Linked DNA regions of Rattus norvegicus. Each later gene encodes a partner of the first gene's protein in a complex. Links are inferred from orthologs where the notes say so. Each region holds a gene or a part of one and is shown on either strand. Other genes may lie near its edges.

Region 1 (7,499 bases):
AGCCCCCAGAGTCCTATTTTTTTGTGCAAGGCAATTGCTGTAGGGGGCTTTGAGAATGGTTTCCAGAATTTTCCTTGTAAGTTCCACTTAATGATCAATTACTTTTAGGATCCTGGAATGGATTACAAACACTGGGACTACACACCTCCTGGACCTGTAGCACCGTCTTTCTGCTTCTGGGAAGTAGTTCATCCAGCTCAGTGGTTTCTCGGCTTGCATTGGAAAGGGTAGCGAAGCAGTCTCTAGAAAGATCTTTGTGTCACAGTTGACCAGTGTTCTAGAGATGCGAGCCTATGTTTGCAGCAAAACTTCTAATCCACAGAACAGCTGTCTGCCACCATGAATTACCTGACCTCACATACCAACGGCACCAAAGTAGAGAAATCGTGCTTTGGGTGAACATGGTTCACAAAGTTGGATGTCCAGGCCAGCACCTATATATCCTGAAACTTCCATGTCCAATGTTAAATGTCCTGGACCTCTAAGCAGATGGGGAAGCCATGTGAAGCCACCTGGAAGCTGTTGACCACACATACCAGAGTTCAGCTCCTAAGACAGGAGCTGGGGAGGGAAGGTGAGCAGCTTCCCAAAGGAAATGGAACTGACCATAGAGGCTGAGATTGCCGGTCTGACTTGCCTCTGGCTAACCTTGGGGCAGCCCACTGTGATTAACCATGATTGCCCCATCTAGCCTATTCTGCAATCCCCCTACGAGATGACTTGAGAAGCTATGAGTGGGGCAGATTGACAAGTTCATCTATCACTGAGGAAGTCTGACACAGAAGCAGCAGCACAGGGGCCAGAACTCCAGCTGGTTTTATCAAGTTTTTTTGTTTTTGTTTTTGTTTTTGTTTGTTTGTTTGGTTGTTTTTTTTTTTTTTGCATCTGATCCCTGTACTCTCTGAGTCTGTAGTCCCTCTGTGAAGCTCAGTTTTCTCTTCTGTGAATTGAGAATACTAATTGCCAAGTTTTCATCCCTATACTGGGTCACTGTCTCAGAATTTTAGCACCAGTAAAAAGTGTGGACACATCTATTGGCAAGGGAGACTTGGTCTTGGTAAGGGACAGAAATGGGAAATAAACTCAGATCAAACCCTTGACCAACTGAAGGTTAGAGATATGCAGGTATGGTGAAAAAAAAATGAGACCAGTAAAGGGGGCGGAGGGACTCATCCTTTCTAGGGATGGCAAGGATTTGGATACAGCTTTTATGGTTTCTCGCCATTGACAACTGTCATGGTGCTGGAGGTAGGCATCTTAAGAGGCTCGATAATGGGGGCTGGAGAGATGGCTCAGTGGTTAAGAGCACCGACTGCTCTTCCTGAGGTCCTGAGTTCAAATCCCAGCAACCACATGGTGGCTCACAACCATCTGTAATGAGATCTGATGCCCTCTTCTGGTGTGTCTGAAGGCAGCTACAGTGTACTCATACAATAAAATAAAATCTTAAAAAATAAATTTATAAAAAAAAAAAAAAAAAGAGGCTCGATAATGAAGATGGAGGTCGTCCTCTGTTCTGTCAGTCATTGTAGATACAGCCAGTCTTGGTAAAGTCACCTGAAGAAGAGATTGATTGAAGGCCTTTGAAAATCCGGTCTTTACAGATAAACAAGCTTATAATCAGGTAGGTAGAGTTGGAAATACAAGATTAGAGGAGGGTCCCACATTGGCTAGGATTAGTGAAAAGATTAGAAGTAGTGTCTATATATCCCCCAGTGGCTCTGGTTCTTGGTGAATTCTGATGCACAGAACCACCCAGCACAAGGCTAGGCCCACAAATAGTCATTTATTATACCACATTATTTGCTTTGTTATTAAATGCACAGTACATCGATGAGGGCTATGTGCTAGGTTCTAAGGAAATCGAGAGGAAAAAGACAGGCAGGATTCCTCACTCAGTGCGCGATTTAGAGCTTGACTGTTGTATTCCGTAAGGCCTAGAAAACACTGGGTGGTCACTGCTGGAGGAACTGCTGTGGTGGCTGTTGAAAGAACTGCTTCTCTCTTTAGGCAACAGCCTTGGTTCTGAAACTAGGGAGACTTGGAGGTAATAGGGAACTTCTGACATGGTGACTGGCATAGTAAATGTGGCTGAAGTGTGACAAACCACGACTGTGTGCCAACACCTGGACCATGCTTTGGCTAGTCCGTGTCTGCTTGAGACCAAAGGACTGCAGCTGGTTGAGTATGTTTCTGGACGGGGATATAAAGTGTATAGTTTAATTAAAATCGTTATTCACAATTCGGGAAGTTAAATGAACCAGTAAGAAGAAAATGGCAGTGCTTTATCGTGAGGAACCTGGAAGCACGGGCCATTTCTTCTGAGACCGGGGACTCCGCCGGACTACTTTTTCTGTAGCACCTATCCGGCTCCAAAGCAGCCGAACTTCCGTCCAGTTTCCGCGGAGCCCGAACGTGAGGTAATACGGTGAGTGTCAGCTCTTGGTGCTCCTTTCGTCCTTTGGTTTCGTTAAATGTGATCGGGTCACCTCGTTTCTTGTCTCAGAATCGCGCCGGCGGAGTCTGAATTTGTGATCTGGTGTCTCGGGAGGCCTTTATTTCTGAAAACCCATCTCCAGGGACACCATGGTCAGGCTCTCTGGGGCTCACGAAGTAACTTTTCCCCCCTTTTAACTGTAGATCTTGGGAACCAGAGATCGTATACTCACTGGAGCTGGTTCTGCGTGGCTTCCTGTAAGTCACCCACCTGGCTTCCTGGCTTTATTTAAATGTATATTGTAGTAAGTAAGTTTTAAGCTTCGTGCATACGCTAGGGACCTAGGACTCGAGTTCTGGAGGCATGACAGTCTTCAATCAAGTACACAAAGTTACACACCAGTCACTGGAATTGAAAGGCTTCAAGGTATCCAGAGTATAATCACGGAACTTTTGACTTAGTCCTGGGTCGAGGAGGCTTTACAAGATTAGAAAAAAAAAAAAAGTTTGACAAAATGCTGTGGGTAGAGTTTTCTCTGGTTTGAGGGTCAGAAAGAAGCCAGTGTGGTTGGAACAGTCGTCGGATTGGGGTGGTATTAAGTAAGCTGAAGAATTGCCAAAAGTAATTCTTGTAGCATTTTCGGGCCATAGTAAGAATTTTATGTTCCCTAAAGCCAGATAGAGAAGGCATTGAGGACCAAGGACTCTTGCTCTTGGGAGTTGGTGAATAGGCTGAGGAGGTGTCTTTCTGTATTGCAGGGTTGTGAAGAATGCATCCCATTTGTATGTTCCAGACTTTTTTTGACTGAACTACAGGCACAAGACTTTTATGCAGTGACCACGCATAGAGGCACAGGCCTTCATGGAACCAGTCCTATCCTTGTTCCTTGTGGCATTTTGATGGCTTAAAACTTCTCTTCTCAGTGCTGGAGAGATGACTTGGTGGTTAAGTGACTTGCCTGCTCTTCCAGAGAATTTGGACTCAGTTCCTACCACCTTTATGGTGCTAAAACTACCTCTAACTCCAGTTTCAGGGAATTCAGCATCCTCTTCTGCTTTCTGTATAACTTTTTCCATTATTTCAGATTAGCTTTATGTCTAAAAATGATTTCTTAACTCAAGTTATGTCTTGCAGTTTGAAAAAGAGTGCTGATTTAGAGACCTTTCTTCTGTTTGTTTGTTTTTAAGGTAAAGACAATAAAGTGTACGCCTAATATTTTTTTAAAGATTTATTGTATTTATGAGTACACTGAAGCTATCTTCAGACACACTAGAAGAGGGCATCCAGCCCATATTTTTTGTAAAAGGATTTTTGTTTGTTTGTTTGTTTGTTTTAAATAAAAGAATAGGGGCTGGAGAGATGGCTCAGTGGTTAAGAGCACTGACTGCTTTTCCAGAGGTCCTGAGTTCAAATCCCAGCAACCACATGGTGGCTCACAACCATCTGTAATGAGATTTGATGTCCTCTTCTGGTGTGTCTGAAGACTGCTACAGTGTATTTATAATAATTAAATAAATCTTTTTTAGGGCTGGAGAGATGGCTCAGCGGTTAAGAGCACCCGACTGCTCTTCCAGAGGTCATGAGTTCAATTCCCAGCAACCACATGGTGGCTCACAACCATCTGTAAAGAGATCCGATGCCCTCTTCTGGTGTGTCTGAAGACAGCTACAGTGTACTTATATATAATAAATAAATAAATCTTTAAAAAAAAAAAATAAATCTTTTTTAAAAATTAAAAAAACAACAGCAAGACACACTTGATTTTCCTGATTGTTAATTTTGAGGCCACCTCTGTAAAACACAAACATCTGTTTTTCAGTGGTCTTATTCTGTGAATATTTCTTTTTTTTTTTCTTTTTTTTTTTTTTTTTGGTTCTTTTTTTCGGAGCTGGGGACCGAACCCAGGGCCTTGCGCTTCCTAGGCAAGCGCTCTACCACTGAGCTAAATCCCCAGCCCCGAATATTTCTTTTAGGGCCCAGTAACAATCCCGCACAGTGCCTGTAATCTGAGTGTGTGTCTGTTGGACTGGTGAGTGACTTCCTACTCAATTTAGTAAAAGTCGGAATAGTTGATTGGCTTAAATTGGTTCATGCTGAAAACATTCTTACAAATACTGCAGAGACAGCGTCTGCTACACAATTGTGTTTTACATTGTGTGCATGTGAGTGAATGATGGGGTGGTGGGTCATATGCTGGGGCAAGCATGTGAAGGTTAGACAACTTTGTGGGTTCTCTTTTCTCCTTCTACTTTATAGTATCTGGCCATCGAAGTGAGGTTGTCAGGCTTAAAAGGCAAATGCCCTTACTCACTGAGTATTTGCCAGCAACCCCTGATGCCTTTGTTTTTAACCAAAGGGTCTTTATAAGGAATTTAAATGTGGATAAAATAAAGAATCTAAGCCTCTCCTCAAATATTGTAGACCTGCCATGTCAGTCTTCTCTGGATGAATTGTGGCTCTGTGGGAAACTGTTTGATCCCTGGACTTTAGGTGGTTTTGTTTTGTGATTACTTGCTTGTTTTTAAGACAGTGTCTTGTGTACATATCGCAGTCTGGCTTCCAATTCACTGTGTAGCTGAGAATGACTTTAACGTCTGATCCTCCTGCCTCTGCCTCTCTCACAGATGTGTGTGTGTGTGTGTGTGTGTGCGCGCGCGTGTGCAAGGATCCTTTGTGTGCAATGGACAATCACTGTACTCAGTTAACTGTCTTCCCACCAGCTGCTTGTTTTCATTGTTTGATTTTTTTTTTTTTTCCGGAGCTGAGGACCGAACCCAGGGCCTTGCGCTTGCTAGACAAGCGCTCTACCACTAAGCTAAATCCCCAACCCTTCATTGTTTGATTTTTGAGACAGTCTCTAGCAATCAAGGGTGATCTTGAACTCCCGATTTCTCTGCCTCGGTCCAGCAAGGGTTGGGAATACAGGTGTGTACCACTGCACCCTGCCATGTTGTCTTTAAACTAGGAAACCAGCCCTTTCTTCTCCCTCATTTTCAACGAGGTTGTTGATGAGTGAAAGAAGGGAGTTTGAAAAGCTCTCCTCCACACCTCAGACTTTTTGTTAACTTTAGATGCTCATGGGAAATTAGGTAGCCAGTTTGATTTGGTCGTCTTTGACAGATCTTATGGTATTCTCCAGTAGCAGGTTTTAGGTAGAATTGTAGCTTAAGATGACTTTTGCATTGTTCTAGTTTAAAATGAGCCATTTGAACCTTTTCCACCTTCCCCTGCTGTTGAGAGAAAGACATCTGATGGGCAGTAGACACAAGCCTGCAGTACCAGCGGGCAGGTTTGCATTTGGTACTGTATGGCCACCTGTCTTTAAGGGATGCCCCTGGCGTGGTGGAATGAAGACTATTGCTCCTTAAATCACACCCCCAAATCTCTTCGATCCTGATTTTCCTCATCTGTTAGACAGATGCAGGGTTGTCATGGGGATTAAAGGGAGTTAATTTCTGTCAGGATCTAACTCAATATTTGATATAGAGAATGTGCAAGTAATAAAATAGCCTTTCCCCATATTCTGGTCAACTCATATTCATTCACTCTCTCCCACCCCCTGCCTCTCTCTGCTGTTCTAGGAGACAAAAAAAGAGTCCTGCTTTTGGTTACCCTCCACTGGCCTCATGGCTTCCATGCAGATGGATCCTGAGTTAGCCAAGCAACTCTTCTTTGAAGGAGCCACTGTGGTCATTCTGAACATGCCCAAGGGGACAGAGTTTGGCATTGACTACAACTCCTGGGAGGTGGGGCCCAAGTTCCGGGGTGTGAAGATGATCCCCCCTGGTGTCCACTTCCTTTACTACAGCTCTGTGGACAAGGCCAATCCCAGGGAGGTGGGCCCTCGGATGGGCTTCTTTCTTAGCCTGAAGCAGCGGGAGTTGACAGTCCTGCGCTGGAATGCAGTTCAGGAAGAGGTAGACCTGTCTCCAGCTCCAGAGGCTGAAGTAGAAGCCATGAGAGCCAATCTCCCAGAGCTGGACCAGTTTCTGGGACCTTACCCATATGGTACACTCAAGAAGTGGATCTCACTCACCAACTTCATCAGTGAGGCCACCATGGAGAAGCTGCAGCCTGAGAGCCGGCAGATCTGCGCCTTCTCAGATGTGCTTCCCGTGCTTTCCATGAGGTACACCAAGGACAGGGTGGAACAGAACCTACCGCTCTGTGGCACCGAGTGCAGAAGCTACCAAGAGGGCTTGGCCCGGCTGCCTGAGATGAAGCCCAGGGCGGGGACAGAGATCCGCTTCTCAGAGCTGCCCACTCAGATGTTCCCAGCAGGTGCCACACCAGCAGAGATCACCAGGCACAGCATGGACTTGAGCTATGCCCTCGAGACTGTGCTCAGCAAGCAGTTCCCTGGCAACCCCCAGGATGTCCTTGGTAAGAAGGAGCTAGGCTTTGGGGGAGGATGCTAGTGGGGGTGCTTAGAATAGAGGCTCATCTTGGCTTATCTGCCCAGTGTTCTTAAAGGAGGTAGGAGGTGGACTGCTAGTAGTCATTGGAATGCATCTTCACCCGTAGCCTAGAGACTTTAAGTCAAGAGCTCTAAAATGGGTCTAGCTGGCTGGCTGTCTTATCTAATGATTTGAGCATCTTACATGAGCCTGTGTACGTAATCCCATGTTTGAAAATTGCTGACATAGCCTACCCCTGCAAAGAGGAAGGATTTGACCAATAGTGGTCACGGTGAGATTGGAGCCCAAGGCTCCTAGTTGCTAGGCCTGATCTGTGTTCCTAGAAGCCTTCACCTAACATCTCAGTTTGCTTTTGAATTTTTTTTTTTTTTTTTTTTACCAGAGTTTATTTAGGGCATGGGGAGGGGAGTTGAGGGAATAGAGACAGAGAAAGGCAGAGGTGGGAGGGGAATGGGGAGAGAAGGCTGAGGAAAGAGAATAAGAGAGTACCTCGCTTTTGACTTCTTAAAATGTTTCTCTTTTTACTGGCTTAGACCAGGACTTTTATTTTTATTTTAATTGTTATAGTTTTATTGCTGCTTACACTCTTAATTTTAAAATAATATGTACTTATCACAGAATAAAAATAAAATTTACTCTAAGTC
Region 2 (6,854 bases), on another chromosome or scaffold:
GCCTGCCTCACCCAGCCTGAGCCCCTGGGCCATTTCCAAGGCAGTCATACCCCAGGAGCCACGCATGCTGGTCACCTGTCTCCACCCCACACTTCCTGGGCTACTGTCACACAAAACCACATACCCATAAAGTTGTAGTTCCAGGAGGACTGGGCAGGGACCATAAAGAAGCCGAGGAATCGGTCAGACAGGAGCATCTGAACCCTCTCATAGTGCGAAGGTAGGTAGCCTTTGGGGTTGTTGCCTTTGTCTGTGTTCTGCCGACCCCACTCATACCCGCTAGGGGTCAGCTTGTAGGCTGTCAGTGTGCAGGAACCTGGTGTGAAGCTGGGGGAGGGGGATAGGAGGGACAGGCTAAGCGTTCAAGTCACCACCAATCCAGGTACTGGTCTGCAGTGCCTGCCCTGTATTTTCACCCAAGGAGGCCCATACCCACCTGCAGGTGATGATAATAGTCTTCTCCCCATCCCAAGATGGGTTGTCAGCCATGATTTTGGCATGAGTAGTTACATCTTGGGGCGATAGCTGGGGGGATTCATTGGGTTGAGTGTGGATCCAACCTAAGGGTTCCATCTCCTGTAGGCAAAGAGTAATTAAAGAGATGTTCAACTTATCTGCAAACAAATGTCATCCATTAGGGTAACATGACAGTAAGTGCAATTCCCAGGCTCCACCACAGCACAAACCTTGAGGTACTCATGTTGAGGCAGCTGACTAGGCAGGTGCACAGTCTGGTGAGTGCCCCACTGTGGCACCATCACAATACAGCGGATCTCCTTCACCTGAGGGTTATCTGGAGGGCTCACCCCATATAGGTATCCTGCAATCTAGAAATAAGATCAGAAATTATTCTTTTTTTTTTTTTTTTTTTCGGAGCCGAGAACTGAACCCAGGGCCTTGCGCTTACTAGGCAAGTGCTCTACCACTGAGCTAAATCCCAACCCCATGTCAACTATATACATGTCTGAATACATTTGTTACTCTCTGCAATAAATTCTACCCCAGTAATATTTCCTCTTAATGGCCCTGGCTTTATGAAATGTTTTGATACCTCTTGCTTGTGCTGTCTTTTTCAAGTTATTCATTCATCCATGAATTCTGAAGTCAGCACCTCAAAGTTTTTGGACTATCAAGTGAATTTCAGGCACAGACTAAGTGGGCTCACACTGTGGTCCAGGTGTGGGCCATGGTTACTCACTTGGGCGCGCAGATCAGATATGCAGATGAACTTCTTCAGCACATTTTTGGGAAGAATGTACGTATAACCAGTCTCCTTGATGTCATCAGATGAAACATAAATGTGATTGGTCCGTAGATGCAGGTTGGCAGCAGAGATGGCCCTAAAGGACAGACAAGGCATGTCAGCACCGCAGCACAAGCATACCCAGCAACATCCACAGGCCTGTGCACCCCGCCACCTTCCTGCCCTCCACAGCACCTGACTCTCCATTCGGTCTTCGACGAGAAGGTCTGGGTCTCATAGTTGCTAGTGGTGGAGGTGATGATCTCATCGCCATGCTTGTTGACAGTTCGAGTCTGTGTAGCAGTGAGCTGGGACTGTTCCTTGGTCTGCTTCTCAATCTCAGCTATCTGCTGCCGCTGCTGCGATGGTGCAGAGATCTCCATTCCCAGGATGATGTCTCGAATTTCTGATTGTGTCAGCGATGCCACATTCACACTGTGGGGACACTGAGAGTTAAACAGGCCCCTCCTACTAGTCACTTTTGTCTTGATGGTAGAGTAGACTTGGGTAACAGGGTATACTCGGCCAAGATAATCCTCAAGTAACATTTCTTTTCTTTTTAACTTTTAAATGCATTTACTCTGGAGGAGGGGGACATATCACAGTGCAAGAGTAGAGGTCAAAAGACAACTTATAGAAGGTTTCTCTCTACCTTGTGGGTTTTAGGGATTGAACTTAGGTTCTGGGTAGCAAGCACCTTTATCCCTGAACCATCCTTTAACTGGCACTTCTGAGAAAAGCATGAAAGGAAGAGGCTGCGGCACCGTCAACTCCATGCATCCAAGCAGCAGGACAACAACACACACGTCCGTCCTCCCGCTGCTTCACACGTCCTCCTGCTGCTTCACACGTCCTCCTGCTGCTTCACACCTCTACTCTTACTTTCCCCCACAAAAATTGCCCTACACAGGACAACTCTCAAAAATGGAAACTGGAAACTCTCAAATCGGATGGAGTGAAACATACTGATAATCTAACAGTTACAAGGTTAAGGCAAGAAGGTTGTTGGGAGCTTAAGGCCAGCCTGGGATACAGAATGAAACCCTGTCTTAAAAACAAGAGAGGGGCTGGGGATTTAGCTCAGTGGTAGAGCGCTTACCTAGGAAGCGCAAGGCCCTGGGTTCAGTCCCCAGCTCCGGAAAAAAAAAAAAACAAGAAAAAAAAAAAAACAAGAGAAACGCAGACAGCAGAAACAAAAAAGAGAGTGAATCTTTTCAAAATGGTATCAGTGCCTTCACTGAGAACTGCATTTCTTTCTAAGTATCCAAGATGTTATTTTTCTTTTGAGACACGACCTTATGTAGCCTAGATTAACCTCTAACTCATGTAGTTAAAGATAACTTTGAATTCCTGAACCTCTTGCCTCTACCTACCAAGTTCTGGGATGACAGGCACACATTACCAAGCACAGGTAAAATATCTGAGACACTTGTAAGCCTAAATGTTTCCAAACTCCAGAACCTTGCCCTGGCTGCACTATGACACCTGCCCTACTCACTTGTTTTTCTTGCCATAGTCAGCCAAGATCAGATCCTTGAGCTGCACCTCCACCTTGATCCACTCCTCGTCAGTGAGCGTGGGCCAGATGTGGTGGGGTTCCGTAACGGTTGTCTTGTCTGGCTTCAGGATCACTTTTGCCCTATCGTTGTTCACATGCAAAGCACGCAGGATCAGGATGAGACGGGAGAAAGCCTGGGGAAACATGTGCAAAGTATGACTGTCAGCTTGGTGACAGTCCCCTCCTGTACCCTATCCTCAGGGGGAAGCCAGTGCTGTCCTCAATTTCTTATGGTGCCAACCTCCCAGCAAGAGTTCTTGCTCTTTGTATACACAGGTCAAGAATTTAAAAACGATCTCATCAAGTGACTTCTGGAGACCCCTGAGGCACACAGTAACTTCTCCTGACTAGAGAGACCTTCCTAAGGTGTCAAATTACCGTGTAGGATGAGATAGTCTTGAGCCAGTCATCATAGAGGTTGAAGAGAACCATCTGTGGTTCTGTGGCTTTAAGGATGAGATCCCCAAACTTCTCCACCTTGAGACAAGCCTGGAAGGGCAGCTGGAGCTCTGATCCTTTGATCACAATATTGGGGAAGTCCAGTAAGTGTACCTAAAGCAAAGCCCAAAGTCAGAGACACAGCCCAGAGGGCCTGAGTCTACCTTCTACTGTGTCCACCTCTCACCTCCAGGGGATCCAGCATCCCTTTCCGAGTGACAATAATCTGTTTAGGCTGTTCCTCCACAGGCAGAGATCGGATCAGGGCAGCCACTTCTTCAGCAGTCTTCCACTTGGCCAACTAATAGAAGAAAAAATCCAAAACAAACTGAGTTGACCTTCCTCAATTATCTAGAAAAAAAAAAAAATCTTGAAATAGACCGTTTCTATAATGACAAACATGAGTGCCAAACTTAGTAATCAGAAAAAGATGCCTACATGTTTAGTGATGAATTACAGTTTGAAACTGGCTCTCAGGTTAAGCTTGCTCTTATGGATGATGTGAGGATGTGGTTCCCACATCCACACCAGGCGGATTACAACTGCCTGTAGCTGTAGCCCCGGAGCTGATGCCCTCCCCACATACAGCTAAAATAAAATACTATTTAGTTTTTAGAGACATGATCTCACTCTGCAGTCCTGGCTGGCTTAGAACTCAGTATGCAGAAGGGGCTAGCTTCAAACTTGCAAAGATAAACCTACCTTTGCATTCCAACTGGTAGGATTAAAAGGCATGTACCACCATGCCCAGACTAATAACAGAATTTAAAAAATAATCTAAATAAAAGTTAAGACAACTAAAAGCTGCATATAGAAATGAGTCTTCCTGGCTAGAACTACGGTGAGCACAGTGAAAATGAGAGCTCTTCTAGAGACAGAAATACGGACAAAGCCTTGGAAGTGAGATGAGCGCTGGGACTTGGGGAAATTACAAGGGGACTTGTAATCATTACACTATACTTACTACAGATACAGAGATGAGACATGTGGCTGGGTAGGTACAGCCCAGTCAGGTAGCAAATGTCTAGGAAGCCACAGAGTGTGCATTCTCTTTATAAAGATGATGTTTAGTTGCTCTTTTAAGACAGAGAACAGAAGTGAGAGGCTTAGGATGTAGAAAGCCCAGCTCAGAGGTAATGAAGGCCTTCACATGCTGGACCTCCTCCCTGGGAACACTTCCCTGGGAGGCTGAGGAGCGGAGTCACTGAGTCAAGTGCTGTGGCCAGAGTGTGGATTCCCAGCACCCATTTATGTCAGCCACAGATGGGGCAGTTGAGGGGGAAGAGTGCCACTTGTAATTCTAACTCCCAAAGCAAAGCAAGCTGACAAGCTCTGCATTCAGCTCAAGTACTTCAGGGAGTAAATCACACAACACTATCGCCACCTCTTTTCTGACTGTGTGCAGCCATGGCTGGCCTTAAACCTATGGCAATCCTCTTCCCTCTGCTTCTTGAGTACTGAGATATTTGCTACCACACCCAGCAATACTTTCTCTCAATAGAGAAATAGGTATTTTTATCATGTTCCTTTGCCCCCTACCAAGAATGAGAGACAGCAAGGTTCTGTGGCTTCACTATCATTTAAACTGCGTACCTGACCCAAACGCTTCTGTCCAGCCCATACGGATGTGTGGATTATCTTGAGGAACAGCTGTCCTGTGCGTGGATTGAAGATGAAGATGGCCCCATTGATGGGTTTGGTTGTCAAGTTCCCCTCAAAGGTCTAAAGAACAGTTATATTGGTTAGCATGGCCTACATAATCACCCCGACTTTACCCAATGTGTGTACATGCTTGTCTTACTCTCTCATAGGCACTTGAAGCCTGCGTGCCCACACTGCATCCAAGGCTCACCTTGTGGATAGTTACTCTATAGACATTGGTGTCATCCACAAACCAGATAATCTGGTTCGAGAAGAGTTCACCATAGTTCTGAGAGGACAGGTAAGGCTCAGTGGGCTCAGATGAATACAGCTGCAATCCTTTGCGTATCCGTTCACGTAACACATACAAGGCAGGGTTTGCCTTCATGATCTTGGCCATGGCTTGCTGTATGAGAGGCTTGCTCCCCGGGAACCAGTTTCCATAGGCACTGTGAGGATGAAGGGAATCACAAGAACTTAAGCACAGGCCGAAAGCTCCAAGTACAACAAAGGGACAAAGAAAGTTGGCCAGGCTTATGCAAAAATCTGCTAACACATGTACATAGAGAAGAGTCAGTCAGTGACCCAGAAGAAAAAACCTCATCTTAGCCAAACAAACTAAAACTGGTGTAAAGACTAATGTGCAGGGAGGGCGTGGTGGCACACACCTTTAGCACCAGCACTCGGGAAGTTGAAGAGGGAGGATCTCTGTGAGCTTGGTGCCAGCCTGGTCTACATAGTTCTAGGACAGCTAAGGCTATATAATGAGATCCCACTTAAATAAATGAAACGAATACAGAAAGTGCAGGGCTAATGGCAAACCGATGCTTCTGAGCCCTAACTCACCTGTGTAGATTATAGGCCAGATCAATGGCAATGAGCACACCTGTGGGTGAAGGGTAGATACTCATGTTGTCTGTGGTGTAATCCAGGAACTTGGCCCGGGCATAGCGCTCAATATCATGGGAATCATAGTCCCCCCAGCGTAACTGGATGTCAATCCAATACTTCTGTGTGGTGGTGCTGTCCATCACATCCCTAAGGGTAGGGGAAAAAGTTCAGGTTTTCAGGAAACCACAGCATAACCACCATCTCAGACTCATGAGAACTCCCAACTGCACCTAAATCTCAAAATCATCCCTCCTCATTGTAGATCAGCAAGACCCCTAGCCGTTCAGTAATGGTGCTTGGCTTTAACCCCAGCACTTGTAAGGCAGAGTCAGGTGGATGGATCTCTGAATTCAAGGCCAGCCTGGTCTACAGGCCAAGTTCCAGGACGGGCAGGCTACATGGAGAAACTGTGTCTCAAACAGAAAAAAACAACAAAACAAACCACAAACAAACAAACAAACAAATCAGCAAGACCCCCCCCCCCCCCCCAGGAAACGGGTAGGTCTGACTGCTGATGGGTTACAAGGGCTAGCACTGCCTCCAAGTTTAAAAGAATGTCAACCAAAAGCTGGGAATGGTGCCCACTTTTGTACAGCGAGCATTTGGAGGGGCTGAGGCAATAGTATTATAAGGTTAAAGCCAGAATAACAAAACAAAAGAGGCAGGGCTAACTCTTTTAAGTTACATGCTTATCGGAGTTGGGGATTTAGCTCAGTGGTAGAGCGCTTGCCTAGGAAGCGCAAGGCCCTGGGTTCGGTCCCCAGCTCCGAAAAAAAAAAAAAAAAAAAAAAGTTACTTACTTAGAGTCTGCCAGCAGCGAGGGCCGGGAGACATTCCACTTATAGGAAGCAAAGAGCAGTATATCTGCACAGGAAGAGTTCATCTTGTAGGATTTTCGGGGATGGATTGTCTCCTTTTGTACTGTCTCAATTTCCAGGGCATCTAATTCCTGGTCGAAGACCTAGAAGTAAAGATGAGAAATCCACATACACTGAGAGCTGAGAGAATTTAGATGAGGCAACAGAGTCTAATCCTTGCCTGTCCAGGATAAATTTTCCCAAGCTGGCTATGCGTGGCAGTGCA
Region 3 (7,771 bases), on another chromosome or scaffold:
GTGGGAGGTAAGGCTGGATATGAGGTGCTGGGGAACGGAAATGAACGGAGTTAAGCAACAACAAAGAACAAGGTATTTGGGCTGTCTGTGGTGGTGACGCATGCCTTTGATCCCTAAACTCCACAGGCAGAAGTGGGCAGATCGCTAAATCCAAGACTTGACTGGTCTAGACAGTAAGTTCTATCTAGGCTAGTCTGGGCTACACAGAGACCCTATCTTTAAAAAAGAAAATAGTGACATGTTAAGCCATAAACCTTAAAGACACTGTTAGGTGTACGAAGGCAGACAGAAGAAATCACACTGTATGGTTTCCACTTATCCAAAACACCCAGTCACAGGATATCAGCAGTGGTCACCAGGGCTGGAGAATAAGGATTTGTCAGCTAAAGTGAAACTCATTTCTTTTAATTAAGAACTATCTTTACATGTGTGTAGGAGCTTTGCCTTTCTATTGTCTCAATCATCTGGATGCCCAGTGCCTGAAGCTGGAAGGTAGGAGACTCCCTTGGAATTATGGGCGACTGTGAGCCGCCCATGTGTAAGCGCCGAGAATCAAGGCTGAGCCCTTTTAAGAAATGACATTGTAGTTCTGTTCCTGGAGAGGGAGTGGAGAGGAAGGCAGTTTGCCCAGCCTTTGGGAGGCAGAGGCAGAGGCAGAGGCAGAGGCAGAGGCAGAGGCAGATGGATCTCTCTAAGTTCAAGACCAGCCTGGTCTACATAATCAATTCCAGGACAGTCAGGGTCTAAGAAACCCTGTCTCAAAACAACAAAAACCCATCCAATTACTGGCTTTGTATTTAGGAAGTCCATTGGTTGTACCACCCACAATATACCCAATTTTGAAACCTAAGCAGGATTGGGCCAGGTTAGCACTTGGCTGCGAAGACAACAAAAACTCTGGTGAAGTCCTAAGAGGGGTTGGTTCTAAAGTGGCCGTGGCTCTCCAGAGTGGGTGGGTGTATATTCACTTTCTTCCAGTGCTTTGTTAAATCACCACAACTTAAGCAGCTCGACACAAATTTATTATCATACAATTCGAGAGGGTACAAGTCCAAAGTGGGTTTCACTGGGTTATCAGTGTGGGGCTACACTTGGCTGGGAAGGACCTGCCTTCTGCCTTCCCGGCTCTCCAGGCCACCGGCACCCTGACACATACTCCTCTCTTCCAGCTTTCAGTTCTCTGATCTTGTTAGGAGTCAGTTCCTTTTCCAGCGTAAGAACCCCGAGATCACAATGGTCCCAATAATCAAAGGTAATCTCCCAGTCTCAAAATTTCTCAATTTTGCTCAGCATCATGGCACACACCTTTAGTCTCAACACTTGGGGAGGCAGATCTCTTGTGAGTTTCAGGCCAGCCAGGGCTACACAGTGAGACCCCACCTCAAAAAATTAAAAAACAAAACAAAACAAAACAAAAAACAACCAAAACCAAACCAAACCTCAACGTCACTTCTACATAATCCCTTTCCTACACTTTCCCTCTGCCACATAAAACATAAGTAATATTCACCCAGTCTGGGGCTCAGATGTGTGTATCTTCAGGGATGTTCTGCCCTTCCTGGGTATTATCAGGAAGTGCCTCAGAGAGCATGAGGAAGAGATCAGCTTTAGATCAGCTAAGTCTGAGGAACCTGGAGGGCACCTCGGTGTCTCTCTCACCAAACACTTGTGAACAATCAGTCAGGCAACATGACTGGATGTTACTCATCCCAAGACACCAGGTTTTCACTGCTAAGTATCTCAGAAAGCTGGTTCCTCTTTAACCAGTAATACCTTACAAATAACTACAGGGTTATCGCTGTCTTAGTAACATACCAAGTCAGATGTCTTTCCACTAATGGGCTTCTTGAAGTCAAAGAAACCATCTGTCCCTACACTGGCAGTAACAGGTCTAATTGTTAGACAGGTCAGAAGTCTCTGCATCTAACATCTGCAGCCAAGCCTGAGCTGAACCCCACTTCCCAAGTCCTTAGCCTGGACCCACTAGCCTGCAGCTCTTGGGGCCTCCTGTACAGACAAGGTGAGCAGAAAGCAGCACTGGTGGGGTGAGAACTGTCAGGTCCCTGTCTGCCTCTCACACTCTGGATTCCTGCATGGGGACCAGACCAGAGGTTTCCTCAAGGCACTAGCCCCACGCCCAAGACGTGGGAGCCCAGGAAATGTAGACAATGCTTGAAAGGCTAAGCAAGAAAAGCTTATGCCAAGAAAGGTCAGGGAATAGGTGAATGGGCCACCTCTCTAGTTTACTGTGAGGTCTCCAGTAAGTCCCTGCCCTTTGCCCCTCGCTGTATCACATGGTGGCCCAAGTAACCTTGAAGTGCTACCAAGTTCATACTTCACCTAAGAGCTATGGAAACTACTGCAGGAGGGTGAGGGGTAGTAAAACCAGACTAGGGAGAAGGGGAGAATCCATGTTTAAGAGGATCTCCCAATAGGATTTCAAAGTCTTCCTAATGTCCCAGCTACAAAGGAGCTGCCAGGGCAGAGAATGTGAGGTCCTAAAAGCCAAGATCAGCATGACAGAGAACAGAGTGATAGAGGGAATTTTACACAGGACACCTGATGGGCCCTCCCTCTGCCTCCAAGGTGGGAAACAAAACGGAGGTGGTCCAAGACACCAGAGAAGCATGAGAGGAAGTCTCTTGGGAGGAAACTCAAGGACCCACCAGGTGAAGCCAAAAGGAGCTATGGAGAAGCCTTGGCTTTTGGCCATTAGCCCAGTCAAGGCCCTGATGCATACTCAAGGCTTTTATTGACAAAGAGACACTGGCTTTAGAGTGGCCTCCAATATCCTCACTGCCCAGGGCAGTTGGGACCTCCTCTGCCAAGTTCAAGAAAGAAGGGGCTGCCAAACGGGGCCCTTAGCGGGCTCATGTGTAGAGATCAAAATCAATGCGCTTGGAATTGTAGAACTGACCGCCTGGAGGGTCCAGCTTCCGGCAATAAACACCATCCGGGAAGTAACCTTCGCTCACCCAGGTCTGTAAGAACAGAGGACAAAACTGAGGCAAGATGACAGAAGCTGGGGTGGACAGCCAGGGCGGGAAGGGGCTTACCTGCATCTGGGCACTGGTAAAGGGTCCGTACAGCTCAGCATCCCCCGTGTTCTCCCATTTATACTCCCACATCACATCCATCAGACCATCTCCAGCTGAATCTGCTTCTAAAACAATGAAGAAACTTGGGCCTCAAGCACCCGGTCTCCTGCCCACACTGCCCCTCTTGTGCCCTTCTTACCTTCTCTATGGGTAGGGGTTGGAGTTTCCAGTTCCCCCTCTGTTACTTCCTCAGCAAACATGTCCAGGGAGGGTGGAGGTGTGGGGTCATGGGATCCCTGGGTCCGACACCCCAAACCCTTCAGTCGCATAGCCAAACGCTCCCTTGTTTCCTGGTATACACCAAGGTTGCCTCGAGCCACCATTTGATCAGCCAACCCAGATAGCCGGTCTAGACGCTGGGGAGAATTGGGCCGTCCAGTCCCCTTGCTGTTCCCTTTGCCTCCTCCTCGGGCCCCCAGACGCCTAAGTGCCCCAGCCACTGTCTCTCTTGGCAGTAACAACTCCAGAAGTCCCTCCAGGAGGGCTTGGACACTCATTGGAGTCTGACCCAGGCTGCCTTCCTCCTCTGAGTCCGAAACCTGCTGCTTATCAGGTGGCCGTTCCTTGATCCTCACCTATAAGTGAAAGATAGTTATCGTTTCTTACAAACTCCACCAGGACCCAGGCCCAGCACCAGCATTCCCAGGCTGAGCTCAGCCAGGACAGATCCTGGGCCACACCCAGTCAATGTTGTCCAGCCAGCTGTCTCGGATCTGCGAATCCTGGTTCAGGAAATAGTTGCCATCTGCATCAAAGTGGCCTTCCTCCATCTCCTCCTGCAGGTTGAAGGGTGTGATCCTCACACCCCCCTCACTAGGGAGAGTAGCTGCTTCCTGACCTGCACCAAAGACATGGGGGGCCCCATGCTAGACATGCAAAAAAGAAACAGGCAGTACACCTCCCACCTCCCTACTTAAAACCTGTCCCTCCAACACAGTTAATGCTTTGGAAATAGCTCACCTTCGACATCCTCTGAGGCCAGGATATCGTATTTGCTGGACCCCTCGTCATCATCCTCTTCATCACTGTCTAAAGAGTGTTTGCCTTTGAAGCGGCTCCCAGGACCACCTGCTCCAGCCACAGGGTCCACCAGCTATGAGTAGGACGAAGTAAATGAGAAAGGAAGACTGGCTAGTTCCTCGAATATTCCAGGATCTGTACATAAACTCGAATCCTTCCAAACCCAGTGACTGGGAAAAACTAACCCTTCCTTGGCTTCCAGCTTTTCTCCCGTTGGACTGCTCCCTCTCCTTTCCCCTTAGGCCTCCATAGAACTTAGAGATCTGGCCATCTCACCTTCTTTTTGGGAACACTGATTTCATCTTCATCATCCTCATCTCCAACACCCTGAAAAGTCACTTTCCTCTTTGGCATGATTGGCAATAGATTTCCTCCAGCTGGACCTCGGGAAAAGATAGGAAGTGAGGAAATTAAGTAACAAGAGAGGGCCGCGAGAGTGTACAGGCTCCACAAAGATTTTTCCTGGTAAATTTGAGAGAGGACCGATCACTAAACCATCTGAAAGAACTAGCAGGTACGACGTCCGGAATTGATTTGGCAATGCAGGGGCCCAAAAGGGAGAACATGTGAAGGATCTCCGCCCCCGCGTGGACCCTGTGGGTACTCCCACCTAGGTGTGTGGGAGGGTAGGGAGCAGGTTCCCCCCACGTCATCACTTCCCTACCAGTCCGAAGCTACAGAGCTCAACCACCTCTCCCACCCGAGTGCCCTCAGAGGCCGGTCGGACGCAAGAGCTGGCGCCTTAGTAGCCTCGGAACCCGAATTCCACATAGCGACCTGCTCGGCCATGTCCAACTCGGCGTAGAAGCTAGAAGCGAGGCAAAGCCGCAGGGATTCAAACAATCTTACCCGCTGACGCTCACCTAGGAATCCAGGGTCAGACGGGAAAGAAAAGGAAAGATGCTTTCGCCGGTATTACATCCGGGGCATCCGCCTCCATCACCCGGAAAAAGACTGTGAAGACTGCCATAGGACCCGGAAGTGGCTTCACTTCTATCCAAAAGACTGGCAGAACGGGCGGATGTATCCCTTTAGCCAAGGCCGACTCTCCGCAGGAAGTAACGTAAGACCTGCAAAGACTCGCGTGAACTCCGTACTTGCCTCACGGGATTTGAAGATGGCGGGAAATGTTTTATTATTCCTCTGCAATGGAGGAGACGGTGAAGACGTGGCGTTCTGTTTGCTAAAAGAGGTTCCCAAGGCCCGGTTGGAGGGACACAGACCGAACAGGGGCCTTGGGTTTCAGTTTGCATTTATGGATAGGATTATGTACGCCTAATGGCATTCAGTAGAAACTCGGGTTTCCGAGTTTAACGCAATCCCAACACTCAGGAAATTGAAACAGGATTGTCGCGAGATTGATGCCAGTCTGCGATACAACATGAGACCATTTATTTTTTTTTAAATCTTTTTCTCCCTGAGTCCTGCTTCTGGTTGTAAGCACTCGGGCACTTTCCAAACCAAATCCTTTTAGAACCCAGGAAGTCATTTGCACCATGTCTATTCCCCCACTTAGTTCCTAGTTTCTGTAGTGGGACAGCCGTCGCAGGAGGTGGCGCTGGCATTGGTGCTGAGTAATTAGGCAGAAGCCCATGGTGCCCTGCTCTCAGGTGTAGGTCCCAAAAAAGCTCTTGAATTAGTTACAAGATGAAGCCTACCCCGACCCCTTAGCAAACTGTCAAGGTGCTGAAATTCAGCTCCTGCAAAGGTGGGACCAGTGAGATCTAACTTAATAGTGAGGTTTAGATCTGGAGCTCTGGGAAAAAACTCAAAACCTGAACACCTCTGCCCCACCCCCACCCTCAGGCTAGATAGCTCAGGTGATCCTACTAGAGCTGGAAGAGGGTGGCCAAACGGACACCACCTTTCTCCTCCAGGGTTTTCTCCCATTCTGAATCACTGTGAAACTTCATTGAAGGTGTGATCTTAGTTTCTTCTGTAGGTAAAAGAAACACAAGTCCTACACCAAGAGAGCATCTTGCTATAGACAGGACCCTGAAAAAACACCAGCTCTCAGCACTACTGGTTCATCTGGAAGGAATTTTCTCTTCTACCTGGAGACCACACCCTGATCCTCATCCTGAAGAAGATCTGCCAAGTGGAACTCTTGCTTTATGGCCACAAAAGCTTTATCAGAAGACTTTATCATCCTGACCCAGACTGGAGGGCAAAAAGCTTGCCACAGAAAACAAGAGCTGGACAATTTGGTTGTGTGCACCTGCTGGGATGAACCAAAAGCAGTCTGTCCACCCTAGAAGCCCAGTACCAGGAGCTGCACCATGCTGCTGACCAAGAACCCAGCCCAATCTAAAGATGGTGGTCTTGCACTCGAAGCCCCTCCTTCAGCTTCCAGGGGGCCGAGGCTGTAAGCTGTGCAGAGGGTCCCAGGAGGCCAGTGACAGTGGAGGCAGCAGATCCCAGGCAAAGCTGAGGAGGAGCTGGACCACTGATTGTTGATGAGAGATGGAGCAAGGGTTTACTGTGACTCATTTTGGGGGTCGAATACTATTCACAGGGGTTGCCTAAGACTATCAGAAAACACAGAAACTTATATTATGATTCACAGCAGTAGTAAACTGTTATTAAGTAATAATGAAAATAGTTTTATGGTTGGAGTCACCACAATGTGAAGAACTGTATTAAAGGGTCACAGCATTAAGAAGGTTGAGAGGGGCTGGGGATTTAGCTCAGTGGTAGAGCGCTTACCTAGGAAGCGCAAGGCCCTGGGTTCGGTCCCCAGCTCCGAAAAAAAAGAACAAAAAAAAAAAAAAAGAAGGTTGAGAACCAGTGGTCTAGATGTTCCTGCCAAGATCAGCAGACTGAACCTATGGAGAGTCAGACTTTCTTCCTGGCTCCTTCCCCCTTACTCTATAGCACTCTTCAAATAACAAGGCAGGAGACAGATCCAGATAGAACAGCAGGTTCTTTTTCCGGTTCCTCAAAGCGCCACGAAACTGCCACTGGGGTGGGACCAAGACAGAAGAGAATGTAAACATTGGGTTCCACCCCCTGGACTCAAGGGAAGACCCTTATTCAGAGAGGGGCTTGATGGCTGGAAGGGAACAAAATGAAAGATAGGCTTTCTGACTCTCAGCAGAGAGGCCTGAACATACAGAGCAAGTGGGCTAGGAAAGAGCAGGACATGGGTGGGAAGGAAACGGAGGACACTTCCTAACATATCCTCTTAAATAAACTGGAGCGTAGACGCACTGTGGAATGGGGAAAGGACAGAGCACCCACCCCAGGCCAATCTGACCTTCTGTACATAATTACAACACAAGGATATCCAGGAGAGAAAACAGCCTTGGCCCCCAGAAAACAGTGGGATGACAGGCAGGGCCCCAAGACAGGAAAAGGAACCTAGCTCCACCATCTAAGGGAAGCCACTGGAGTGTAAGAATCTGCTAACTGCCATTGCCAAGAGTCACTGTGGTGACCAAAGGCAAATTAAGACAGCACCCCAGAAGAACTTCATAGGCGTGACAGAGACCCAAGCTGAGCCTAACTGGACGAAAGAGTCTCCAGACTTGGTCACTGTTACCCTAGGAAATGTAGCTGTCCCATGCACTGTGGCTGTCCCGGCCATGTAGGGATCAGCAGCTGGCAAGGAGTCAGGGGAATCAAGCCACTTTCCTTAGAAAAAGGAAGAGCCT
Region 4 (7,749 bases), on another chromosome or scaffold:
CATTGTTTGCTTTTGTTTTTTTCTGTTTTTTTTTTTTTTTTTTTTTTGAGACAGGGGTTTTTCTGTATAGCCCCGGCTGTTCTGGAACTCCCTCTCTAGATCAGACTGGCCTTGAACTCAGAGACCAACCAACCTTTGCCTCCAGAATCCTGAGATTAAAGGTGTTAGCACGTCCAGCTAGCAACTGCTGAGCCACCCATTCAAACTGTACTTATTTTTTTTTTTTTTTTTTGGTTCTTTTTTTTCGGAGCTGGGGACCGAACCCAGGGCCTTGTGCTTCCTAGGTAAGCGCTCTACCACTGAGCTAAATCCCCAACCCCTGTACTTATTTTTTAAAGTATGGGTATTCTTAATGAGGGTTGAGAATCAGGTAGCAAATGATTTAAGTTAGTTCCTCCTGAAGATTCTGATCTTTCTCCCTCATATATGAGGGTCCTAGGTATGGATTAAGGCCCCATGTTTTTACAAGTAGAACAGTTCTCTCTTTCTTCTTAATGCTCAGTAACCATTAAAGCCAAACTGATGCTCTTACTAAATCAGTTCAAGAGTTGTCTCCAGGGGAAGAAAAAATTCAGCTGCTCTTGGTAGCACGAGCCTGTAATTCTAACACTTGGGAGGCAGTGGCAGGAGGATTAGACATTCCAAAGTCATTCTCACTACATAGCCAGTTTAAGGTCAGTCTGGCGACATGAGCCAGTAGGACAGTAGGAGAATGGAAGAGGGGAGGGGGAAGGAGATGGGGAGAGGAGAAAGAGAGCCAAGAAGATTATTTAACTCCAACCAAAGCAACCCACTTTCCAATTAGCACAACGGTTCCTTCTTCTTATTTACCACATGCACCCGAGGTTGTACCAGAACGTGTGCTCAGCATTTTACCACGCAGCTTTAGCTAACTGTAGCTGGCTTAACCTCCCAAATTAGACAGATGCCAAATTAGACTGATGTCTGATGCCTCCTATGGATGGCACTCAAAATGAAAGAGATCATATTAGCAGAGAGCAGTTAGTAACTCCAGTTCAAACACTGTGCCTTACGTATGAGTCGGTCAAATCCTGCAGAAGCCAGGGTAGATCCATTGGGGTGAAACTTGCAGCAATACACTTCCCCTTCGTGTCCTGAGAGCAGCATGATGGGGGCTTGAAGGGACGAACACCTTGGCGGTCCCTAAACCAAAGACAAGTGTGAGGAATGGAACGCTGGGGGCAGTGCATCTCATCTGCTCAGGGCACAGCACCTCTGCTCACAGAACTCCTCCTGCCTCTGGATAATCCCGTGGACAGTCCAGCGTATGCCCTATGTGCTCTCTCCTTCCTAAGGCTGTTTTTGTTCCACAGCCAACTTTTGACTGCTTGGTCACATTGAACTCCTTTATGCCTCAGGGTCTTAACAGAGAAAGATGTCTTCTATAGAAGCACTCACCTTATTTTGTGTCTGTTAAGTATTGCCTCCCCAGAGTCTGTCTTTCATCACTCACACTATTTTGAGTGAGGCAGCCCCCCTACCCCTTATTCCACTGGGTCCAGGGCACTCTGTCAAAGCCCCATCACTACCTGAACTTCCTTCTCTTACATCATTGCTCATACCTTTCTTTTTCCCCAAAGAAATGAAGCTCTGGTCGTTCTCCATTTTTCTGTCTCTAGTCCATCCAGTTAGCCTTTGAAAAACCCAGTGGGGTACAGTTTATTATGCAAAATAGATTTTGGGGCATGAGCGGGGTGGGGGGGGTCTTTTTTTTTTTCTTTTTTCTTTTTTTTTGGAGCTGGGGACCGAACCCAGGGCCTTGTGCTCGCTAGGCAAGCGCTCTACCGCTGAGCTAAATCCCCAACCCCGAGCGGGGGTCTTAATATGTAGCCCAGGCTGGTCTTAAAAATTTTCAGTCCTCCTAAGTGCTGGTATGACAAGTGTGTATCACTGTGTCAGGCTTAGCAAAGTAGATTTGATTGTGTGGTCTTGCACACTAAACCTAGGCAACCTTGTCAAATAAGAACCAGTGTATTACCAATAATCCTGAAGTCTCTTTAGTAGATCCCAGTATACTTACTTATTTTTATTATCATGTACTAACTACACCAAGTAATGGGTTTTATTACGAAATATCCATAAATGCAGATAATGTCCCATGGTCATACTCATCCAGTATATTTAGTCACAAAAATGTTACCTGTTGGCTAGAGAGATGGCTCAGAGATGCTCTCCTAAAGGACCCACATTCAGTTCTCAGCATCTTCAATGGGCAACTTTCAAGAGCTGTAACACCAGGTTCTGAGAATCCAACATTCTTTTTTTTTTTTTTTTTTTTAAGATTTACTTATTCATTTATTATATATAAGTACACTGTAGCTGTCTTCAGATACACCAGAAGAGGGTATCGGTTCTCTTTACAGATGGTTGTGGGCCACCATGTGGTTGCTGGGAATTGAACTCAGGACCTCTGGAAGAGCAGTTGGGTTCTCTTAACCGCTGAGCCATCTCTCCAGTCCAGAATCCAACATTCTTTTCTGGCCTCTGAGCCCCAACCCCAGCGCACACACACCTAACATATCTAGGCGCTGGAGAAGACAGCACTTGGTAAAACAATAGACCTTGCATTCTAGTACAAAGTGTGAGAAAGGCAGACAAGCAAACCCAAGTAAAACACCCCCTGTTGTGTGCCATGGGAAGAAACAATATGGGTTCCAGAGTGCAGGACACTTCAACCTAAAATACAGTTGTCAGAAGAGCCCCACTGAAAAGCTAGTATCTGAGCAAAGATTTGAAAGAGTCAATAGTTGACCATGTGGGCATTTACAAGAACATCCCAGCCAATGCACCACAGAAAAAGTAAGAACATATATGTGTGTGTGTGTGTGTGTGTGTGTGTGTGTGTGTCTGGAGCCAAGTGACATGCCAGAAAACTAGTAGATGAACAAGGTAAAGAGGGGAATTATTACAGAGAATTTCCTTTTTTTTTTTAGAAGGCAAGGATCAAGGTTACACAGTTCTCTTTCCTTTCAACAGGATTTTGCCATAATAATAGCTTAGATGCTTGAAGTCCTGGATCTTCCAGCCCCAGTTTCTCAAGTGATGATTATAAATGTGTGTATCCAGCTTTTTTGGGGGGTGGGGTGGGAGTGTCTTTCTATGTTGTACAGGTTGGCTTCCAATTCCTTCCCTTAAAATTTTCTTGTCGGTCTTCTGGAAAGCTGGAACTACAGTCCCACACGCCTTGCTCACTTTATTTGTATATTTTAAAGACCACCGCAAAAGGATTTGGTTAAAGAGTTGGGGCAGGAGTACACCTATTTCCTCATCTGAACGTGTGGCGGGTGTGATTACTATTTTACAAGACATGTAGTTAAAAGCATGGGTTCTGATTCAAAAAAGCTTGCTTTCCCCATTTTGCAAAATAACAGCTGCTTCCAGGCTGTTATCAAGATTAACGGAAATTTCACACGCAAAACATCCAAGAACCAACTAATGTTAATTACTATTATAAATGCAGAGAAAGAAAAAGCTGTACCAGGTAGCAAAGCGAGCCACTATCATTCATTTGCATTGCTTCTCCTCTCATTCATTCATTCGTTCACTCTGCCAACTTTCCTGAATGTTTCTTTTATGCTAAATCCCTGAAGATTTAGGATGCGGAAGCTTGGGTCTTGACTTTGAGGCCAAAGTTTTAAATGATTCAATGCCCCGGAAGGGCTAAAAACAGGCGTCTAACAGGGAAACACGTATGGAGCACACACAGAACACAAGGCACCTTTACAGAGGCCTATTTTAACTTCAGGCTCACTGCTTTTCCGTTCCTGCAGAGCTGATACCATCCGTAGGAAGAGGGGTTGGGGGCCGAAGGGGGGATGCCTCCTCACTTACCGTCTGCAGCAATGCCCCCGGAGTCGCCTGCTGTTGCCCGGCTCCGGGGCCGGATCCTGCGGCTCCCAACAGCAACTCATGTCGCGGCCGCTTGACGGGAACCAGGGGTAGCTCTGGGCCCTTGCGTTTCTGCTGCTCGATCATGGCGGCAACCACTACCCTCGGCGCCGCCAGTAACCGCGCCGCCTGCAGCAGGCGTTGCGCAATTGGTTTCAACTGAGTTCTTCCTCCAGAACTTCCGGAAGAGAGCAACCAATCGATTTCTAACATTTCCTTCTGCAACGCCCTCTGAATACACTCTTGCGATTGGTCTCTTCTTGATGACGTCACGAGAACTCCACTCTGGATTGGGTCGCAGAACTGACGTTCTCCTCCGCCCCCTCAGGCGCGCCGTGCATTGTGGGTGAGAACGAGCGGAGCAGATTCAGTGTTCCTAGGGATGAAGCGGCTGTCCTGTTAGGAGCGGACGCGGAGTGAGTGTGTGGGGAATCAGGCGGGTGGTTGTTACAATTTGGAAGTTACGAGTCAGGCCTGAGCCTACCATTTTCAGCTACCAGCTTTGGCAGCGGGGTGTGGCAGGGGATGTCCTCGGAAAGAGTCCCCGGAAAGAGAAGTCCTTTGGTAGGCTGGAGCAGAGCTTTGGGATCTCTGGATGCAGGACTCGAACTCTCAGGCCGCTATTCATTGACAGCTGCTCTGCAGGATGCCGATTCTGGATCCCACTCTGTGCTGGCCTTCCCAGGCCCGACTCCCGGCCTCCAGGCTTCAGTGCCTGGCTTGGCTGAGGCGGCGGACTTAGTTTTGTCACTGCTTTAGCCGTCTTTTCTAAGGACTTATTTATGTCCCCGAGACAGCCAGCGATAAGGAAAGTATCAGATGGCTCCCCAAAGCACAACTTTATTGAGAAGTCAAATAGTCGTGCTTACGTACCAGGCCTTCTCGAAAGTGGTCCATGGGGTTGGGGATTTAGCTCAGTGGTAGAGCGCTTGCCTAGGAAGCGCAAGGCCCTGGATTCGGTCCCCAGTTCCGAAAAAAAGAACCCCCCCCCCCAAAAAAAAAAAAGAAAGTGGTCCAAATGGTATTTATGATGCAGTGCGTTGGAGGTCATTCTGAAGAAACATGGTCCCCTACCTCAGGGTGTGGGAAACGTGTTAAGCAAATCTCACCAGTTGATCGGAAGACTACCTGAACGAGCGATGCCTCATGCTATGAGTTACTAATAGAAGCTTGAAGGCTTTTCAAAAGAAAAGATGGCTGAGCTGTTCCTATCTGATGGGACAGTTCTAATTATGGGACGAGAGAAAGGGAGAACGTTCTGCACAGAACAGCATGTGCAATGCCCTATCAGTTGGGAAGATGACTGAGACACAGTGGGTCTGAGCGGGTGTGCTGAGAGAGAGTGATTGAAGTGACTATGGTATGGGATGAACCCGGAGGTCATGAAGATTTGCAGGAAGTTGAAGCTTTTACTTTAAAATCAATAGGAAGCCAGTCAAAGTTTTCTCTCTTCTCCAGAATGTGGTGCAGAAGATGGCTTGATCCCTCAGACTTAATGGTGTGATGAAACTGGAGAGATAAGGGGAGGTTTACTGGGAACAAATAGACCATTTTGGGAGCATGAACAGTAGTTCTGATCAGCAATGTCAGTGAGAATCAAGGTGAGGTGGGACTGAAGACAGGTTTAACAGTTTCTTGGGATAGCAGGGAAGTAAATTGGATAGGATTTGGTGATGATGGATTGGATGATGCCTAAGAGAGGATTATGTGCTTAGTCCCAACATTGGAGGCCGAGAGACTGGAGGATTGCTACAAAACCAAGGCTAGGCTGGGCAACATTGGGATCTTTCAACTCACACCAGGCTGCTAGCATGACACCTTGTTTCATCCCCCTCCCCCCACCGCCCAAAACAGGGTCTAAATATGTACTTCTGGCTGTCCTGGAACTCACTATGTAGACCAGGCTGGCCTTGAACTCAGAGATCTACCTATTTCTGCCTCCCAAGTGCATGTATATATTTGTTCCTCATGAATGCCTAATGCTAGCATGTGAACTTCCATGGAGGTGCTAGAAACTCTAACCCCAAGTCCTTTGCAATTGTGTCTTCACTAGGGTTTTATTACTGTGAACAGACACTATGACCAAGGAAACTCTTATAAGGACAACATTTAGTCGGGGCTGCCTTACAGGCTTAGAGGTTTAATCCATTGGTGCAGGAGGAGCTGAGAGTTCTATACCTTCATCTTCTAGAAGATTGAATAGCAGTGTCGAAGCCCACCCCCACAGTGACACACTTCCTCCAGCAAGGCCACACCTATCCCAGCAAGGCCACACCTCCTAATAGTGTCACTCACAGGGACAAGAATATACAAACCACCACAAAGAATGACAAGTACTCTCAACTAATGAGACATCTCTTTCTAGCCCTTGCGTAGTGAGATTCTAGCTCACAAAGCCAGGGGCTGGGGCTGGGACTTCTGGGTTCAGTTCTTAGCACTGCAAGAAGACCTTTCCCATCAAATAAAAGTTTAAAAACTGGTTAAGGCTTCTGTTCTGTGGGAGGAGCAAACAAAAAAAGCTTTAGGCAGGGTAGAGTGAGTGGTACATGCCTTTAATCCCAGCACTCAGGAAGCAAAGGCAGGTGGATATCTGTGAGTTCAAGACTAGTCTGTTCTACATAGAGAGTCAGGACAGCCAGAGCTACATACAGAGAATCTGTCTCAAGAGAGAGATTTGATGGGGGGGGGGGTGTCTTAAGATATAGCTCTTCCTAATTTTATTTAGATTTTTTTAGAATCATTATTTTATGTGCATAAATGCTTTTCCTGAATGTATGTATGTGCACCATGTATAAGCCTGGTGCCAGAGGAGGCCAGAGGAAGGCATCAGATCCCCTGGGAGTGGAGTTACATACTGTTGTGAGCCACCACGTGGGTGCTGGGAACAGAACTTGGCTCCACTGGAAGAGCAGTGCTCTCTCCAGTCTTTCTCATTCTCTCACAGCCTAATTCGGCAAGGAACCACTTAAGCGTATTGCTCTTTCCATGACTAATGTGTGTGGAGAGGAACTAGGATGTCTGCCCTCATTTTGAGTGTCCCAGTGCTATTATAGATTCTATACTTGGCTAATTAACTTTTTAAATGTGGTAGCGACTAGTAAAGGCCTCTTAATAGACTCACGAAGTTCCAATTAATAACACCCGTTCTGTGATGTGAGGCAAGGGATGCTGGGCAGAAGGAGGGAAAGTCTGGAGGTGAAAGTGCTTAGCTGGGAAGTAGGAGAGGGGCATTCAGTCATTTCTCTAGAATGGGCAGATCAGCCTCTGTCCTGTGTACTTCCTTTAGTGTGTACATGTTCCTGTGTGTAGGTGTGCATGCATGCACATGAATGGAGATGAGAGATTGATACTGAGTATCTTTTTCAGTTGCCCTCCACCTTATTTATTGAGACAGTATCACTAAACCTGATGCTCCCTGAGTCCACTAGATCTATCTATTGGCTACCTACCCCCCCAGGGATGCTGGCGTCACTGCCTCCTCAGCTGGGATTACAAGCTGCACATCTGGGCCCAGTTTTTATACTTGGGTGCTGGGGATGGAAACAAGTTTTCATAATTACAAGGCAAGCCTTTCTGACTGAGCCTTCTCACCAGCCCCAAAAGTATACATTTAAAATTGAAAGCACATAGAAAAGCTGGAGAAACACTCAGCCATTAAGACCTCTTGTTGCTCTTGCAAAGGACCAGGGTTCAGTTCCCAGCACCCACATTGGGTAGTCACAACCAAACTTAACTCCAGTTCCAGGGGATCTTCTGATGCTCTCTTCTACCTTTAGTGTTGCACATGCTCAAGTGCGAACACACAAACACACACACACACACACATACACAGAGAGAGAA

Evidence for each region.
Region 2: Aar2 (region 1) and Prpf8 share a complex: the UniProt entries of both Homo sapiens proteins name them as parts of the U5 snRNP complex. The link is inferred for Rattus norvegicus from reciprocal best matches to the Homo sapiens genes AAR2 and PRPF8.
Region 3: Aar2 (region 1) and Cd2bp2 share a complex: the UniProt entries of both Homo sapiens proteins name them as parts of the U5 snRNP complex. The link is inferred for Rattus norvegicus from reciprocal best matches to the Homo sapiens genes AAR2 and CD2BP2.
Region 4: Aar2 (region 1) and Snrnp40 share a complex: the UniProt entries of both Homo sapiens proteins name them as parts of the U5 snRNP complex. The link is inferred for Rattus norvegicus from reciprocal best matches to the Homo sapiens genes AAR2 and SNRNP40.

Annotation. Positions count from the first base shown.
Region 1 is NC_086021.1:165,515,165-165,522,663, forward strand, and holds the start of Aar2 (protein AAR2 homolog), read left to right. Parts: upstream 1-2,359; 5' UTR 2,360-2,694; exon of another isoform or gene 2,695-2,800; coding exon of another isoform or gene 2,801-2,863; intron 2,864-6,018; coding exon of another isoform or gene 6,019-6,063; coding exon 6,064-6,820; intron 6,821-7,499. UniProt on the Homo sapiens protein: Component of the U5 snRNP complex that is required for spliceosome assembly and for pre-mRNA splicing.
Region 2 is NC_086028.1:60,845,682-60,852,535, reverse strand, and holds part of Prpf8 (pre-mRNA-processing-splicing factor 8), read right to left. Parts: intron 6,733-6,854; coding exon 6,572-6,732; intron 5,919-6,571; coding exon 5,727-5,918; intron 5,330-5,726; coding exon 5,092-5,329; intron 4,962-5,091; coding exon 4,833-4,961; intron 3,541-4,832; coding exon 3,427-3,540; intron 3,354-3,426; coding exon 3,180-3,353; intron 2,936-3,179; coding exon 2,742-2,935; intron 1,679-2,741; coding exon 1,439-1,678; intron 1,341-1,438; coding exon 1,199-1,340; intron 828-1,198; coding exon 687-827; intron 577-686; coding exon 437-576; intron 328-436; coding exon 125-327; intron 1-124. UniProt on the Homo sapiens protein: Plays a role in pre-mRNA splicing as core component of precatalytic, catalytic and postcatalytic spliceosomal complexes, both of the predominant U2-type spliceosome and the minor U12-type spliceosome.
Region 3 is NC_086019.1:191,238,899-191,246,669, forward strand, and holds Cd2bp2 (CD2 antigen cytoplasmic tail-binding protein 2), read right to left. Parts: upstream 4,994-7,771; 5' UTR 4,982-4,993; exon of another isoform or gene 4,968-4,981; intron 4,935-4,967; exon of another isoform or gene 4,896-4,934; intron 4,502-4,895; exon of another isoform or gene 4,496-4,501; 5' UTR 4,473-4,495; coding exon 4,395-4,472; intron 4,194-4,394; exon of another isoform or gene 4,192-4,193; coding exon 4,059-4,191; intron 3,937-4,058; coding exon 3,779-3,936; intron 3,674-3,778; coding exon 3,238-3,673; intron 3,164-3,237; coding exon 3,057-3,163; coding exon of another isoform or gene 2,982-3,056; coding exon 2,871-2,981; 3' UTR 1,001-2,870; downstream 1-1,000. UniProt on the Homo sapiens protein: Involved in pre-mRNA splicing as component of the U5 snRNP complex that is involved in spliceosome assembly.
Region 4 is NC_086023.1:147,981,076-147,988,824, reverse strand, and holds the start of Snrnp40 (U5 small nuclear ribonucleoprotein 40 kDa protein), read right to left. Parts: upstream 4,036-7,749; 5' UTR 3,997-4,035; coding exon 3,853-3,996; intron 1,165-3,852; coding exon 1,035-1,164; intron 1-1,034. UniProt on the Homo sapiens protein: Required for pre-mRNA splicing as component of the activated spliceosome. Component of the U5 small nuclear ribonucleoprotein (snRNP) complex and the U4/U6-U5 tri-snRNP complex, building blocks of the spliceosome.